Diceros bicornis minor: one gene and its partner. The protein of the gene in region 2 interacts with the protein of the main gene of each other region in a pairwise test. Links are inferred from orthologs where the notes say so. Each region holds a gene or a part of one and is shown on either strand. Other genes may lie near its edges.

Evidence for each region.
Region 1: the proteins of ESRRG (region 2) and NR0B1 interact in binary tests that used the Homo sapiens proteins (3 or more experiments, as listed by UniProt). The link is inferred for Diceros bicornis minor from reciprocal best matches to the Homo sapiens genes ESRRG and NR0B1.

The regions. Positions count from the first base shown.
Region 1 is NC_080781.1:25,762,152-25,770,045, reverse strand, and holds the start of NR0B1 (nuclear receptor subfamily 0 group B member 1), read left to right. Parts: upstream 1-4,831; coding exon 4,832-6,002; intron 6,003-7,894. UniProt on the Homo sapiens protein: Nuclear receptor that lacks a DNA-binding domain and acts as a corepressor that inhibits the transcriptional activity of other nuclear receptors through heterodimeric interactions.
Region 2 is NC_080777.1:16,076,503-16,084,522, forward strand, and holds the start of ESRRG (estrogen-related receptor gamma), read left to right. Parts: upstream 1-5,014; 5' UTR 5,015-5,133; coding exon 5,134-5,189; intron 5,190-8,020. UniProt on the Homo sapiens protein: Orphan receptor that acts as a transcription activator in the absence of bound ligand. Binds specifically to an estrogen response element and activates reporter genes controlled by estrogen response elements.

The DNA.
Region 1 (7,894 bases), on a different chromosome or scaffold from region 2:
GTTTGTTGAGGGTCTTTAATATGCCAGGCAATGTACAAGGTCCTCTAGATATAATCATTGTGGGAAGTACACTGCTAAGCAAAGTTGGACGGGAAAAGAAAGCAATTTCCTGGGAGGAAGATAGTATAACAGTTCCAGATCCTGATACAGGAGGAGTCTGTAGCTAAAATTACCATCACCATTAGGGGACATAGCTATGCGGATCAATGCAGCAATGATTTTCAAACTCACCCGTCAAATCAATTCTAATTGTTTGTCAACCAATGGGATAACCATTTTTAAACCTGTCAGTCCACTGAATTTATTAATTAGATAATTTGATCAACATCTGGTACTGGGATGGATTCAAAATTGGTAGATGCAGTAAAATAAATTGATTTGATGAACATTTTTCCTTGAACAGAGTGGTTGACTGATTTGGAAAGTTGATTTTAGAACATTTCAGAATTACCATGAGTATGAGTCCTTATTCCATTTCAGCAACTATGTGACCTCTAAGGCAGGTGATTGCCTTCTTTGTAGCTCATCTGAAGGAAATAAATAATGATGACTTGATCTTTAGGGGTTTCATGAGTCAGCAGCTAAAGCTTATTAATTCTTACATAAATAGAGCTTTAAACATTCTGGGTCTTGGAAAGGAAAAATAGGGAGACTATCTCTTGGATTTTATCAGCCACTACTCTTCTATAATAGTGTTTACCCAATATTTACCTTGAAAAATAAGGAAAACACTATTGTTACTCCCTGTCACCTATTTACTAAAGGAACTGAATTCTGAGGCATTGCAGCTCTTTTAAGCCTCGATTGAGAATTCGTATCAGGTTTCAGATCATCACGCCTTTCCAGGTCAAGAGCATCTTGCTGTGCAAAGGTTAGTTTTACAATTTTACCCGGCTTTCTCCCCACCTGTACTTCACTCCTACATCCTTTAGAGAAAACTGCATTACTTTGAAGTTGAAGGTTGCATTCAGGCAGGCAGAGCTGCTTTACTCCCACCCTGAGTTAGAACAGATAATGGATTCCGCAGAGCAGGTGTCCAACTGACCAAGGTCATCGAACAATGACTCAGTGTAAATATCCAAATTGCAGTTGTGGACAAACTCAGCATATGACAGGTGCAGTTGATGAGTGTCCTTTTGTCTTGCTGTCACAGTGGTCTAAGGACATGGGACAAATCAAATGAAGAAGCTATGCCTGCCTTAGAAGGTTACGTCTTCACTAATCCTGTAGCAACCAGCAGGCTGGCATTGCTTGGTGCAAAGCTCTGCACTGCTGTGTTTGGATGATTTTGTTTCTCAGGAGCTATCTGTTCAGGGAAAAAATGGAAAGGGGAAAGATGAAGTCAGTTTTCTCCTGACAGTTCCAAGGATGAATACTTGCGAAGGACAAACAGGCAAGCTCTCCTTAGAAACAGTCAATCCAAAGAAGCTGGGAAGTCCTCAGAGTTATGAACAGAAAGTCACAACTTCAAGAAAAACACAAGTAAGAAAATCAGGAGATTCTGCTCCTGGGAAAGAACAGGAATTATAACCAATATATTACAAGTTCATGGTTCTCAGCACCGTACTGAAATTTCATTTTGAGACAATGCCTGAAAGTCAAAGACATCAAATAGGTGTGAGGTGTGAATGATTAAAGTCACAAAAAATGGGTTGTTACTAGGATTTTAAAAAATATACTTGATAAGATGAAAGAGTTTTAGAAAAACCTTTAAATTATATAGGGCTAGGGTACATATATTAAAATAGTCTATGGCATTTTTTTCTGGTTTCATAGCTGAAAAGGCTAACATAATATTAAATGCCTTGTTCAATGCTAAATCATTAGAAAGTGAACGAGTGTAAACTTAAGTTACTTTATATTTTTGATATAGTGAAGAGGTCAGCAAACGTTTCTGTAAAGGCCCATATTGAGAGAAAAAAATAATAATAACCCTTGAAGGACTTAGAACAGGGTGGATGTATTAATATTGTTATATAGAATTTTTCCCCATTTCACAAGTGTGAAGGCTGAAGTTAAATGACTTGTTCAATGTTATATGTTTAGAGTAGAAGAGCCCAAATCCAAAGCCATGTCTTTTGACTGTTAACTCAATTCTCTTGTTACTTAATCACAGTGCCTGCAGCACTCTGAATATCACAAAAGGCCTCCAGAAAGCTCTGAGTCCAACAGGGCCTGCTAACTCCTCCTTCTGCCAGGATCAGCACAGCAATAGTGTCCTGTGTGTTGAGAGCAGAAGATACACCCTTCTCCTCTTTCTCTAAAGGCACAGTTGGCCAACAAATATATTTTTGAGCACCTACTGTATGCCAGACACTGTCCTAGTTGCTGGGACACAGAGTGACCAATTCCTTGCCCTCAAGGGACTTTTATACTAGTTGAGGGAGACAATCAACAAGCATCAAATAACTAAATACATCAATCATATCAGCTCTGATAAGTGATAGGAAGAAAATAAAATGGGGTAACATAAAAAGTAACTAGCACTGGCAACTTAAGGTGGGGGCTGAGGTAGGCTGGGTTTTTCAGCTAGGCTGGTTGGTGGATGCATCAAGCACGAAGATTGCTGAAGTAGCAATAACAATACCCAAAGAGTAGCTTGAATATTGGAAATGGCAAATGATGAAATGGACAATGAGGTAACATTTCTAATACATATTACTGTTGTGGACCAGATGGCCCATCCAGTGTTTTGAGTCTGGTCTAAGAAATGTGGACATGCAGAAAAAAAATGAGACAACTTCTGGGTGGAGGGATAGGGTGGGCTTCCCTGGCAGAGAGAGAATAATGGTGGTGCTGGTCTAGCATCAACTCCTAACCCTGAAGTTATCACATGTTATCTTAAAAAGGGGGGGGATAAGAGTTGATACATCCAACACTTATCGTGTACCAAACAAACATTTTACATGCATTAACTCATGTATGAGGATTACCTCACAGAGATTATTGTCCACATTTTACAAATAAGGAAACTGAGGCACAGGTGGCTTAAGTAACTTTTCTGTGAAAGGCTAAATAATGCCGCCCAATGATGTCCATGTCCTAACCCTCAGAACCTGTGAATATGTTATCTTTCATGGTAAAATGGACTTTGCAGATGTGATTTAATTAAGAATTTTGAGATGGGGAGATTATTCTGGATTATCTGGGTTTGCCCAATGTAATTATAAAGATCCTTAAACAAGTCAGAAAGGAGATGGAAGCAGAGGTCAGAGTGATACGGCCAGGAGCCCAGGAATGCAGGCAGCTTCTAGAGGCTGGAAAAGGCAAGGAAATAGATTCTCTCCTAGAGCTTCCAGAAGGAATTTTACCTTGATTTCAGGCCAGTGAAACTGATTTCAGACTTCTGGCCTCCAGAACTGTAACATAATAAATTTGTGTTGCCTTAAGCCACTAAATTTGTGGTAATTTGTTATAGCAGCAATAGGAAACTAATACATCGCCCAAGGTCACGGAGCTACAGAGTGTCAGGGCCAGAATTAAAATTGAGGCAATCTGGTGCCAGGGCCAGAAGTTTAACCACTGTGTTATTGGGCCTCTCACAGAAAGAATAAAATTTCAGGTTGAATGCAAAATAAGTGTCTCCTAGGTTTTCCTCTTATACTCAGAATTCCACGTCCCAGAGAAATTAAAACATGAGAAAGGGGATCCTACACCAGCTAGTTTATACAGGTCCCCTTCTCTATGTCTTCAGTCCTGGACCCAAGAGATCACAAAGGAAACCTTCTATTTTAGAGGTGAGGAATTTGAGGACTAAAGGGTTGTGATTTTGAAGTTACCCAGCTGGCTGGTGAAATAATCTGCTAGTTACACAAGGGGCACGTGGTGATGTGGGAGACCCACTGATCTCAGTGCCTTTGTAAAATGAGAAAGGAGGCTGTGTGGCAAGTGAGGACCAAAGGATCCAGGTTTCCTGAAACCTATGTTTCTCATTATTCATTTAGGAAGGGTGGGAGAAGAAATGCTAATTACACATCTATCCAATGCAATACTTCTAGAAGAATACAAAGTTTTCACTGGAACAACCGTTTAGCCCCTTGTGATTATTATATTCCCAAATATTAGCCACTTTTATGTCCTGGTCACTGCCCCCAGCTCTCTAACACAGCATCCAGGACAGAGTGGGGGCTCAAAAATATTAATTGCATTAAACAAAACGCTTATGATAGCATCTTTAGATCAGCGCTTTTCAAAATTTAAGGTGCAGGCCAATCCCCTGGGGGGGGTGCTTGTTAAAATGCAGATTCAGAGTCAGCGAGTCTAGTTGGGGCCTGAAATTGAGCATTTCTACCAAGTTCCCATATGATGCTGATACTGCTAGTCCATAGTTTATATTTTTCAAGGTCCCTGAAAATGAGATCTCTCCATCCATATATAAAATATGTCATACAAAGTTTGATCATTTAATGAAAGTTTGCAAAGATGGCATAGAAATAGACTTTTTCCTTTTTAGGCACCTCTGCCCTTCCAATAAAGGAGGCAAATTAGATGCCAGGGTTCAATGGCAAGAGTTGGAACAGTGCCCCAAATACCTGCTCCCTGAGCTCTGCTCTCAGTCTTCCAGAGGCAGGGAAGGGTGTAAAGAGAGGAAGGAGGGAAGTGTCCAAGAGCTCCCATGCCTTCGTTCCTCTTTCATTTCCAACCTTTAAGGAGCACCTGCTCCTTCTGAACCGCCGAGGTCACGGACAAATACGCCGGAGCGCAGCGCCGCGCCCCCCTCCGCGCGCCCTTGCCCAGCCAGAGACAGCCGACGCGCGTGCGTGCGCGCTCGGTATAAATAAATCCCAAGCGGCGGCCACTGGACAGAGCCAGGCTGCCGGCACCGCTGGCCATGGCGGGTGAGGACCACCAGTGGCAGGGCAGCATCCTCTACAACATGCTCATGAGCGCGAAGCAAACGCACGCGGCTCCAGAGGCTCCCGAGGCGCAACTGAGGAGCCCGTGCTGGGGCTGCTCCTGCGGCGCGGAGCCCCCGGTGGGCAGACAGGGGCTGCCGGGTGGGCGGGCAGTGGTGCTCCTGTACCGCTGCTGCTTTTGCGGTGAAGACCACCCGCGGCAGGGCAGCATCCTCTACAACATGCTCACGAGCGCAAAGCAAATGCATGAGGCTCCAGAGGCGCCCAAGGCACGGAGGGAGGGCTCGTGCTGGGGTTGCTCGTGCGGCGCGGAGCCCCCAGTGGGCAGAGAGGGACTGCCGGGTGGGCGTCCCATGGCGCTCCTGTACCGCTGCTGCTTTTGCGGTGAAGACCACCCACGGCAGGGTAGCATCCTCTACAGCTTGCTCACCAGCGCAAAGCAAACGCACGTGGCTCCGGAAGCTCCCGAGGCGCGGCCGAGGGACGTGCGGTGGGACCGTTCCTACTGCGCGCAGAGGCTGGTGGGCAGAGAGGAGCTGCCGGAAGGGAGAGCAGTGGCGCTCCTGTACCGCTGCGGCTTTTACGATGAAGACCACCCGCGGCAGGGCAGCATTCTCTACAACATGCCCACGAACGCAAAGCAAACGCACGCGGCTCCTGAGGCGGAGCAGGGGGCCCCCTGGTGGGACCCTTTCTGTGGCGCGCAGCGGCGAATGGCCCTCAAGAGTCCACAGGTGGTCTGCGAGGCAGCCTCCGCGGGCCTGTTGAAGACGATGCGCTTCGTCAAGTACTTACCCTGCTTCCAGGTGCTGCCCTTGGACCAGCAGCTGGTGCTGGCGCGCAGCTGCTGGGCGCCGCTGCTCATGCTGGAGCTGGCCCAGGACCGCTTGAACTTCGAGACAGTGGAGACCTCAGAGCCCAGCCTGCTGCAGAGGATTCTCACCACCAGGCGGCGGGAGACCGCGAGCGAGGAGCCGCCGCCCCTGGCCACGCTGCAGCCACACTTGGTACCGCCGCCAGAGGCCGGGCATTTGCTGTCGGCCGCCCAGGTCCAAGCCATCAAGGGCTTCCTTGCCAGGTGCTGGAGCCTGGACATCAGTACCAAGGAGTACGCCTACCTCAAGGGGACCGTGCTCTTTAATCCGGGTAAGGGTTCCAGCCTTGAGCTCTGGATTTTCTCTGCTCAGAAAAGTGTTGGGCAGTGCCTACCCTGGGCACAGGCAGGGGCACAAGTGAAAAATCGCAGCTAACTCAGCAGAGTTGGGGGAGGGGGTCCAGAAACCACTTCTCGTGGGTGGGCCGCTGCCAGAAACTCAGCAGAGGGGAGGGGGCTGGCTTGTTGAGGTTTGTACTTGTCTCTCTACACCTTTCTGTTACTACAGAAGTTTGTGCCTTCAAGAGACATGGCTATTCCTTCTCCTCTAGTCTTTTAAATCTAGTAGCACAGCTTTAAAAAAAAGTTTGTGTTCACTGCTAATTCTGCAACATCTCATTCTGAAACCTAGTTCTGAAATTTACTAGAACCTTTTTGTTGCAGGAAATCTATTTGGGCTGGAAAGAAAGGAAGCATTTGTTAAGGACTCAGAGACCATCCTCTGGGGACACTGTCAGGACACTGGACTTAGTGTTTCATGGGTCTGACTCTGAATGGTCATTTTTATGATCCCAAGCAGCTGGATTATCTTATCCTCCAAGTGTCTGTGAGTATGAGGCTAGCAAAGGGGTAGGAAAAAGACACACTAGGGACTGGGAGCAGGAGCACCGTATTTTAGAGCTTGAAGAGACGGTAGAGACCTCCTAATCTACCCCCTCTGCCCTCCACCCTTCCTCCACCCCATTTGCAGGTTAGATAGCCTAGTCCCAAGTGACCTTACTCCAAAATAAATGGCCAGTGAGTTGTGGAGCGTGGGTCTCCTGTCTCCTTGCCTAATGGGAAGTCTGCTGTGCCAGACTTTCGGGTTGTCTGTTGGATGCTGGACACTCTGCCCCATACAGTGCAACCAAATCTTGGAAGATGATCTCTCTGGATAGCCCAATGCCTAGTGTCGAGTGTGTTCTACTACTGGAGTCATCTTCGACCAGCATCCTTCCAAAAGGGTCACAAGTGGGCAGGAAGTTTCCAGGCAGCTTGAGCTGTGATAGTCGTTATAATACTCCTTCCACATCCTTTTTTCCTGACACTAGGAATCTTGAGTTATATTCTTGCCTCCTGCCTAGCATTTTTTGAAGGGGTATAGAGCAGTATTTAGTGGGATAATAATTCATTCAGAATTCACATTTCAGGACCTAGAGACCTCAGCTCATCCCAGTGATCATTGTAGGTCACCTTTTGCTTATATCGTTGTTCTCCAAACTTGCCTGTGCATAAGAAACACTTGAGGGGCTTGTTCATAGTCTCTCCAGGACCCTACCCTAGAGATTCTGATTCAGTATCTCTGGTCCAGGGTCTGCAAATCTGCGTTCATAGTACGTGCCCTACGTGGTTCTTAAGATCGTTTGGGAAACAGTGTTTTCTTGCTCCGTCAGCCAATGTTGTTAAACATCTACCATGCCATGTGCCTTGTTCTGATGGAATACAAAAATGAGACGGGCTCGGCTTCCAGAAGTGTACATTCTACTAGTTTCCCGCTTTTCCTCCACCTCGTTCTACATACTGTTGTCACACACATACACGTTTCCTTTATTCTCACTCTGGTTTTCTGAATCCTCTCTCAATATGAGTTTAACCAGCTAAGCTGAGTGTATTTTAAACACACATGCATCTGCATTTGGGGAAATTAATGCCTGCTAAGTGTTTGGCCTTTCTTTGCTGTTTATCGTTTTGTATCCCCTGATCTTCAAAGTTTTTTTGTTTTGTTTTTACTGTGGAGTCCATCTATCCGCCTTTTCTCTTTTCTAAATTTACTGTGAAGGCAAGTCTTTCTTTGGGGGAGGGGAAGCCACTTTTCCTTGGGGTGGTGGAAAAGGAGGGGTGTGGTATGAAAGCAGAGAAAAGTGATGTGGAGTTCAAAAGATGAAATTTTAATGAGCCATGAATC
Region 2 (8,020 bases):
GGGTAATTTGATCATTTTACTGGTATCAAAGCAAGTATTGCTTATTCTGAAATCTGTCATATTTGTCCTCCCTCCTTCTCTGTCTCCACTACTCCCCCCGCCCTCCTCTTGGAGTTAAGCTACCCTTTATTTTGGATAACACTATCACACACATGATTGAGTCAACAATTTATGGCTTTTAAAAATAGGGATTTTGTCCTCTCTTAGGTTTATTGTTTATCATAATCATCTTTCAAGTGAAAAGGCTAATTTACTCTTTCTATAGGAATATTTTAAGCTTGATTATCATAATATTACAGCTGCCTGAAAAGGTCTAAAACGGGACATTGACCTTGAATGTTTTCTGTGTTGAGCTCTCGGTGCTTAACATTCAGGAAAGGATATAACGGCAACTCATTTATTAACGTATAATCTCAAAATGTTAACTATTGCTCTGTAAATACATGGCATGCAGATTATAGAAAGCTTGTAGGAGACTATAAAAGGCATTTGGTATCTTACCAGGGTAAGTATGTTGGAAATACAACATAACTAAAGTCAGTTTTCCCATTGGAGCTACTGTAGTTTATAATTTAATTTTTACTCACATTTTCCCATGTATATTATTAGCTTGACAAAATGAAAGTGAAATAATCCTGAATTAATTAAACAGAAACCGAATTGCCTCTATTAGTTTCTCTGTCTTCCTTTGATTTTTTTTTTTTTTCTACTTTCACAAACACACTGGGAAAAGACTTTGGTGTGTATGGAAGTGAGCTAATTGCTCCCCAGAGAATGGGCTTTTTTTTTACACGGATTCGGTAATTTGGGAATAGGATGGATTTATAGGACAAGAGGTTTGTGAAAAGGAAAGGTTTTTATTAGTACTTCTGTGGAAGCGATCACTTTCCGGAGAAATGATTGCTTCTTGCCAATCGAGACAATAATTTAAATATCAAAGCCTGTGCCCTAGAAATGAAAGGCAACAGAAAATGAGGTATGATGGATTGATAGAGGTTTGGGGTAATATAAAATAGGCATACTGACTTCGAAAGAAGTCTTCATGTTCTCAGTGGGAAAAGTGTGTTCTTAAGGAGGTTTATAGCATAGAAGAAATCCCAATGATGAGGAAACCAGGGACAGAGAGGTGAGGAGACCTGCTCAAGGCAACACAGCTCGTGAAGGGGCAGAAGGGAGCCTGGGGTCAGGCCTCCTGCGTGTCCTTCAAGATTCTTTCTCCAGGGATGTTCTTTGGGGGTTTTCTTTTGAAGTTAAAGATAGTACAGTAGGGAAGATGGTTTAAAAAGTTAAACAGCTTTTCAAAGGTTTTATGATCTTGAGGAAAGATCTGAAAAGGTAGATTACAAGGCAATTTGAAAATCTAACTTGACGACACCTTGTTTAGTTTTAAATATTTAACAAATGGCAAAGGTGCCATATAAAATCAAAATTTGCTTCAAAAATAGTGTGGCCACTAGGAAAATTTTAATACAGATTAGTCCTCGTAATTTTCAGAAAAGGAAGGTGGGAACGTAAAATAGCTATTAATATGCAATACTAGCAAGACTAAGCATTTCTCTTAGCAACCTAAGAATTCCTTGTTAGAATGTTTTAGGAAATGATTCTGAGGAAAATACAACAAAATTGCTGGTATAGACGAGAGGAATCTACCGTTTGTTTTCACTTGAGTTTTGTTTGTTGCCATTTCGTTCTTTCAAATGGAAATGTATATTTTCTGTTTAGTGTCTGTGCCTTTAGTTGAGGTTTGAGAATGAAGTCATTTGGGTATTTGTGACCTCATTGTTTAAAGAAGAGATTGGAACTATGTGTATACCCAGGACCTGATGTATAATAGACTGATACTAACTAATGTATTAATATTCTTTGTGAAATAATGATCAGAAGTTCTTTTGTTTGGTTTCATTTATCCTGCTTTGGGTAGACTCCTTGTGGTAAGATTGTGAAGTGTATAGACTGATTAGCAATATGTATTTATTCTAAGCTGTTTATCTATTTATTTGTTTTATTTTTTCCCAAATCCTTTGCAGTTGGGATTCTTAAAGGTTTGTGCTCAATATTGCTCCTGGCATGTTTATTTCCTGTGATTATCCACTCTTTCCTCCTGCAACGTGAGAAAACTGTGACTAGGAAAGATTCTGGAGACAACTAAGCTGTGTGTTTATAGAATATTCTGGAAGCTGTCTCACGAGTTTAGTGCAGTAGATATTATTTTAAATTTTAAATTGGTTAAACTGGATTCAAGACAGTAGGTGTAATCTTAGGTCCTTGACTTGTAGACGTGACACATTGATCCCAAGAGGACAACATACAGCTCTACAAACCTAGTGCACTTCTGGTCATTCAGAAAGCAGCTAGCTTAGTGGACACTGCACATTGCATAGATGAAATATGGTGAGTGAAGGATGAGGGGAGACTATACTGTGTATTTGTACATGGATCTCTGTGAGCACAGAGAAAAGACTTACACGAGTATGAGTCTAAATATGTTTAGAAATATATACCAATGAAACCAAATGGTTCACAATGGGTCAGATAAGTAGCCAAAGGGAAATAAGAAAATTCCAGGAAATAAAAGATAACTCCTATGAAATGTAGTGACTTAAAGACCATCGGTAAATAATTGACTACAAATCTTGTCTTTAAAAAGCCATTTCAAAGGAGTAATAAACGGGTTCTGTCACAGCATGATAATGCAAAGAAACTGAATACAGTACATGATTCTGCACAGGTGCAAAATCTGAATGTGTTGAGTACATTAAGATGTGTTGAGTACATTAAATAATTTTTATTTTTTTAAAAAAGTCTCTGGACAAAATAAAAAGGAAACTTTTTTTGGTATATCTTTTAAAAATGTGTACAATTGGATTTATTAATTGCCCTGAGAATTTTAGTTTATTCAGAAATCAAGAGAGTAATCTTTGAACCAAAGCTATTTTCCTGTCTTTCTAGTGCAGTATTAGCTTCCCCATTTCTTTTATCATATTTTAGAAAAATCATGTTTCTTTTTTCAAATGCCTTTTTATTTATTTTTTTTAATTATCAAATGATTACATGTCTCATTTTAGATTGAATAGACAAATCTTTTTTTCGGGTGTCTGCAGGGGCTTGGATTTTCTGCTACATCTCAAAGCTCTTTTAATTCACTGCTCACAACCAAATTTACATCTTAATTGCAGAGTTCACATTTAACAATATAGACAGCATAATGCTACTGGTAATTAAGCTTTTACTACCTGCTTTTATACAGTATTCTCAGGCACAGTTTTTGCTATGTGAGTTCTCATCTACTAACTTGTCTGCATTTAGACCACAAATAAAAAGAATCAGGCCAATATCTTAGATATGGCTAAATACATGGCAGGGAAATTGCTCTCTTCTTGGGGGGACCACATCATGTCTGTCATTTTTATGTTCTGAATTTTAATGTGGCTGTTCTGTTTTAGTGTTTTGTCTTTTAAAGACCTCGGAATTTGAGAGGGTTGAGAAAAAGAGTTGGGTTCTGATTTAGTGAATTTAACACACACCAAATATCTGAACTAATTTATTTTGATCTCAAAGATTATACTATTTATGTCTGTAAGACAAGATGCAAAAGCTTGGTAAGCAGTAGAGCTGAATTATATCAAAACTGTGGGTCTTTCAACTCTCCATAAGGTAGCATTTATCTCTTTGCCATAAATAGCTTGTATCTATTTCAATATCCATTTGCTAGTATAAAAAATTCTGTATTTTAAAGTGGACCTAAGAAAACTCTGTTACATGGAAACTAAAAGCACGCTATATACTATTGGAGGAAAAACACCCTTCTCTTCTTAGATCCTCTTTTTTTAAAAACAACACTTTTGATTAAGTCTTAGTTTTGCAAATTATTATCTGTTTGAAACTAGTCCTTATAATGACCAGACTGTGTGATGATTTACAAACTGTTTCTGAGTGGATTTTTTAAAGCCTTTAGGGTGTGTTACGTGTAGAAACAAATATGTAAACTGCATTTTATTCGAAAGCTCATGTTTTGGGTAAAATCATATATATTTGTATATGTCTCCCAGTTTGGAAGCTTGTATTGAAATAAGTATATGATTAAGAACATTTCAGCGCACTGTTCAGTAATGCTCTCCCTTCAAAATGCGTTGAGATGGATTTAATGTTCTTTTTACCCCACAGCCCCCGGTCTCCCACCTCTGAAGCTGAAAAAGCCAATTTGCCCTACAGTTGTTTACGTTTGTTTTGAAAAGCTATGCATTGTCTATCGATATGTAGAGAGACAGCAGCAGGTAAAGAAATATTTACACGTGTAATTTACATGGGCATTTTCTCAAATTGTCCTGATGCACTATTTCCTCTTCCGTAGTTGTGTAAAACTGCATTCCACCTCAGGGATGACGATCCCAGTTCCTATGCCCGAAGCATTTGGAAGAACGTCTTTGATTTCTAAAATGCCCGGGATACATCAGGAAAACAGGAAAAGACACGAGTACGAATAAACGAGAAAGCACCTCACTACACCAGAAGCAGCCCCCAGTGGAATAAAACAGACAACGGCTGGACAAACTTAATTCTCTACCTTCCGCAGAATCCTTTCCCAAATTAACTGAGAGTCTGCGTGAGTTCTTCTTTGCCAGGCAAAAGAGATCTTAGGTTAGAAAGCAAAGAAAAATCCCTCCAGTGCTTAGAGAGTTAAGTTAGTTATGTTTCTTTGGTAGCTTCCGAGGGAAAAAAAAAAAAGAAAAGAAAAAACAGTCTCTAATGGGAGCGTTGCAATCTCCCTCGTCCTCGCTCTCTGTTTCTCTCCCACTCCCAGTTTTCAGCCCCCTTCCCTCTGTGCACCCTTGCTACCTGCCTGGCTCGCTCGCTCGGTGCAGCCTCCCGTCGCCTCCCTCCTGATTGGGCAGAGGCCCCCCAATCGGCTGCGCGCCTGGGCCGGTGGGACTGCATATGTAAAGCCCTACTTCATATTAATAAGCTCCAATCGGGGCTTTAAGTCCTTGATTAGGAGAGTGTGAGAGCTTTGGTCCCAACTGGCCGTGCCTATAGGCTTGTCACTAGGAGAACATTTGTGTTAATTGCACTGTGCTCTGTCAAGGAAACTTTGATTTATAGCTGGGGTGCACAAATAATGGTTGCCGGTCGCACATGGATTCGGTAGAACTTTGCCTTCCTGAATCTTTTTCCCTGCACTACGAGGAAGAGTAGGTACCTTTTTCTTTCCTTTTGAAACTCGTCGTGGGGGTGCGTGCGTGGGGGTAGACAGAAGGTGTCTTTGCACACTGATTCAGGTAATGCCCCGGGTGTGTTGCGTGCACGAGTGCTTGTTTGTGTCTGTCTTGTGCCTTTTGTGTGGAGGGTGAGCTCCTAATTCAGCAAGTCGAGAATTGTTCTCTGACTACAGTGTTACCTTTGAGTCGAAGCTCAGTTGGCTGTCGGTAAAACAGCTGTGTGACAGTCACTTCTTATTCAGGTGCTAAGAATAGGCACTTGGCACAAATGCTTAGTGAACTGTTAAAACGCATCTTTTACTAGGACCCATTTTCCCAAGGAAAGATGTTTTAAAATACAATATTCAAAATGATTTATCGTATTGAGTGCCTCTTATGTATTTGCAGTTTGACAGATATTTCCAGCTCCCTGTCATTTCTGACCGCGCAGAGTTAGAGGCAAAATTGCACATTTACTAATTCTCCTTCGGAGAACAATTTAAAAACTAGCCCTCTGCATTTCAGGGCTAGAATAATGTTATTTGCATGGTTAGCGTTAAGTCAGCACTTAACTGACAAATCAGTCCATTAAGTAACATGAGATTTTCACACATTATAAATATTTAAGGAGAGAAAAAACTAAAGATAAAACAGCAGTGACTTTTAAAATTTCCCCTTGAATAGACAATGCTGAGATTGTGGATTTATTTCATGTATCGTGTCCAGAAAATCTAGAAAAGTACTTTTGTTCTTAAATGCAGTTTAATTCATATTTGTGAATATCTTTATGCACATGGAAACATATATATATATATATATATATTTGGATTACTCAAGGTGAGAGAGAAGTGAGTAGGGGGTAGGAGAAGTAAATTAGGCATTCTTGTGTAAATGAAGAGGTCGTAAACTTAATTTCAACCCACTGTTAAGATAAAATATTAGTATATCACGGGAGCTGTCACTGGTTCATCTTTCTGTTGAGTCAGTTATATTGCTTTGCTTTCACATTACGGTAATACCAACTGTTATAATTCTGAAAAGAGTGCTCTTGGCAAACGTTTCTCTCTATAGATTGTGGAGAAAATATAAAACTCTAGAAGACGAGGTCGTGCATTAGAGGTAGATGGCCACTAGCTGCCCTTAGTGACTGCATATTGCATTGCTTTGTAATTAAGTAAGGGAAGAAAGTGGCTTGCCGTCTCAGTGGCTGCTCGTGTGTGAGAGAGTGTGTGTGTGTATATATATGTATGCATGCTCTCACACACATACACACTCACACAAGAGATATTAACCAAGAGATGGACTTAGGAGAAACTGAAAGATTGAAAGGCTGTGCCTGCATCAGTTTAAAACACGCAAAGGAAGAAACAAACTTAAATTGTGTGAAAATAAAAATGAAATATAAACAAAGGTAGAACTGCTCACTTGAGTGTAGTTTAAAGGTTAGTGCACCTGGAACTGTAGTACTGGAGAGTTTAAAATGTCTTCATGTCAGGAGGAATGCATTATCCAAGCTCACCCAGATTCTGAACTTTCTCTTGTAAATAAATAAACAAAACAAACTTTAAAAATCCCCTGGAGGCTTCTTTTAAAAGTAGTTTCCTTGAATTGAACTTCTTATAGCCAATTTGAATAATTTAGATAAGCCTCTTAAAGCAGATGCGTTGAAATGAAATCAGGGCACATGTCCTTTTGGCTTTGGCGCAAGATTCAAAGTAGCTTTCTTTTTGGCTCAATTAAAAGTCATCTTTAAAAAATACGGATTTATTGTCTGGATGCAGTTCTGATGGTTACGTGGTTCACTGGACAGACAGAAAGATCTAATGCTAAGCAACGCATCTGCCTTTCTGTCTCAATTAATAAACCACAGAATTTATACATGCTATTAATATTTATAGTAATTGTACTGGGTTAAACCCCATCACGTGTCTGTGTATACATGGAAACGAAACCAGAGTTATGCAGTTTCAGAGGAAAATATCGGACAATTTCTGCTTCCGAGGCTGTTAAAAAGATTCGTGCAATTTATTGACCACCATTAGGAGAGCCTAAAATGTTAACCTGTAACTATGTATTTTTTATTTTAGATGTGCCAGCATATTAAAGAACATAATACTTGCAAGCTTGTTTCACATTTAATAGCAGTAATAACTGATAGCATAAATAGACGAAAATAATATATCTGCTCATTTTGACATATGTGTCAGTCTAATCATTCTAAATGAGCGTGCTTGTCACATGAGTCCCTTTCAACCTCTGATTAAAATGTAACATTGACTACAGGATTATAGAGCGGACTTAATTTTACTGACTGTTTTAACAGTTGTCACAGCTGTTGGAAGAAGGAAAGGCAATTGAAACACTCCAAAACAGGCAGGGCGAGGAGGGAACAGTTTAGTAAATTTCAGCCCGATCCCTGAAATCCAGACATTGAAAATTAAACAGATTTATGTTTTAAGGTTCCTGTTTGGAACTATGCAAGTTTCATTTTGTCTGGTCCACTCTTTCTGGTTCAGAGTTTTGAATATTTTTCTCTGCTTCATCTCGCCTGATGAAAAGCTAGAGTAAATTGAAATACAACTATCCAAAAGTAATATTATAATATAAAAAATATATGGGATAAAAATAGGAAGGAAGGAAAAATTTATACAGTAACAACAACAGCAAAAAGCCTAAATCAGAGTGGATGCAATTTTTTAAAAAAAATAGGAGCTTGCCCAAGTCTCTTTAAATGTGATATTATTTGAGAACTATGAACAGACACTTTAAGTTTATTTTTCTAAGAAAGGATACTTAAACTCCAGACTTGGAGCTCATATTACTTT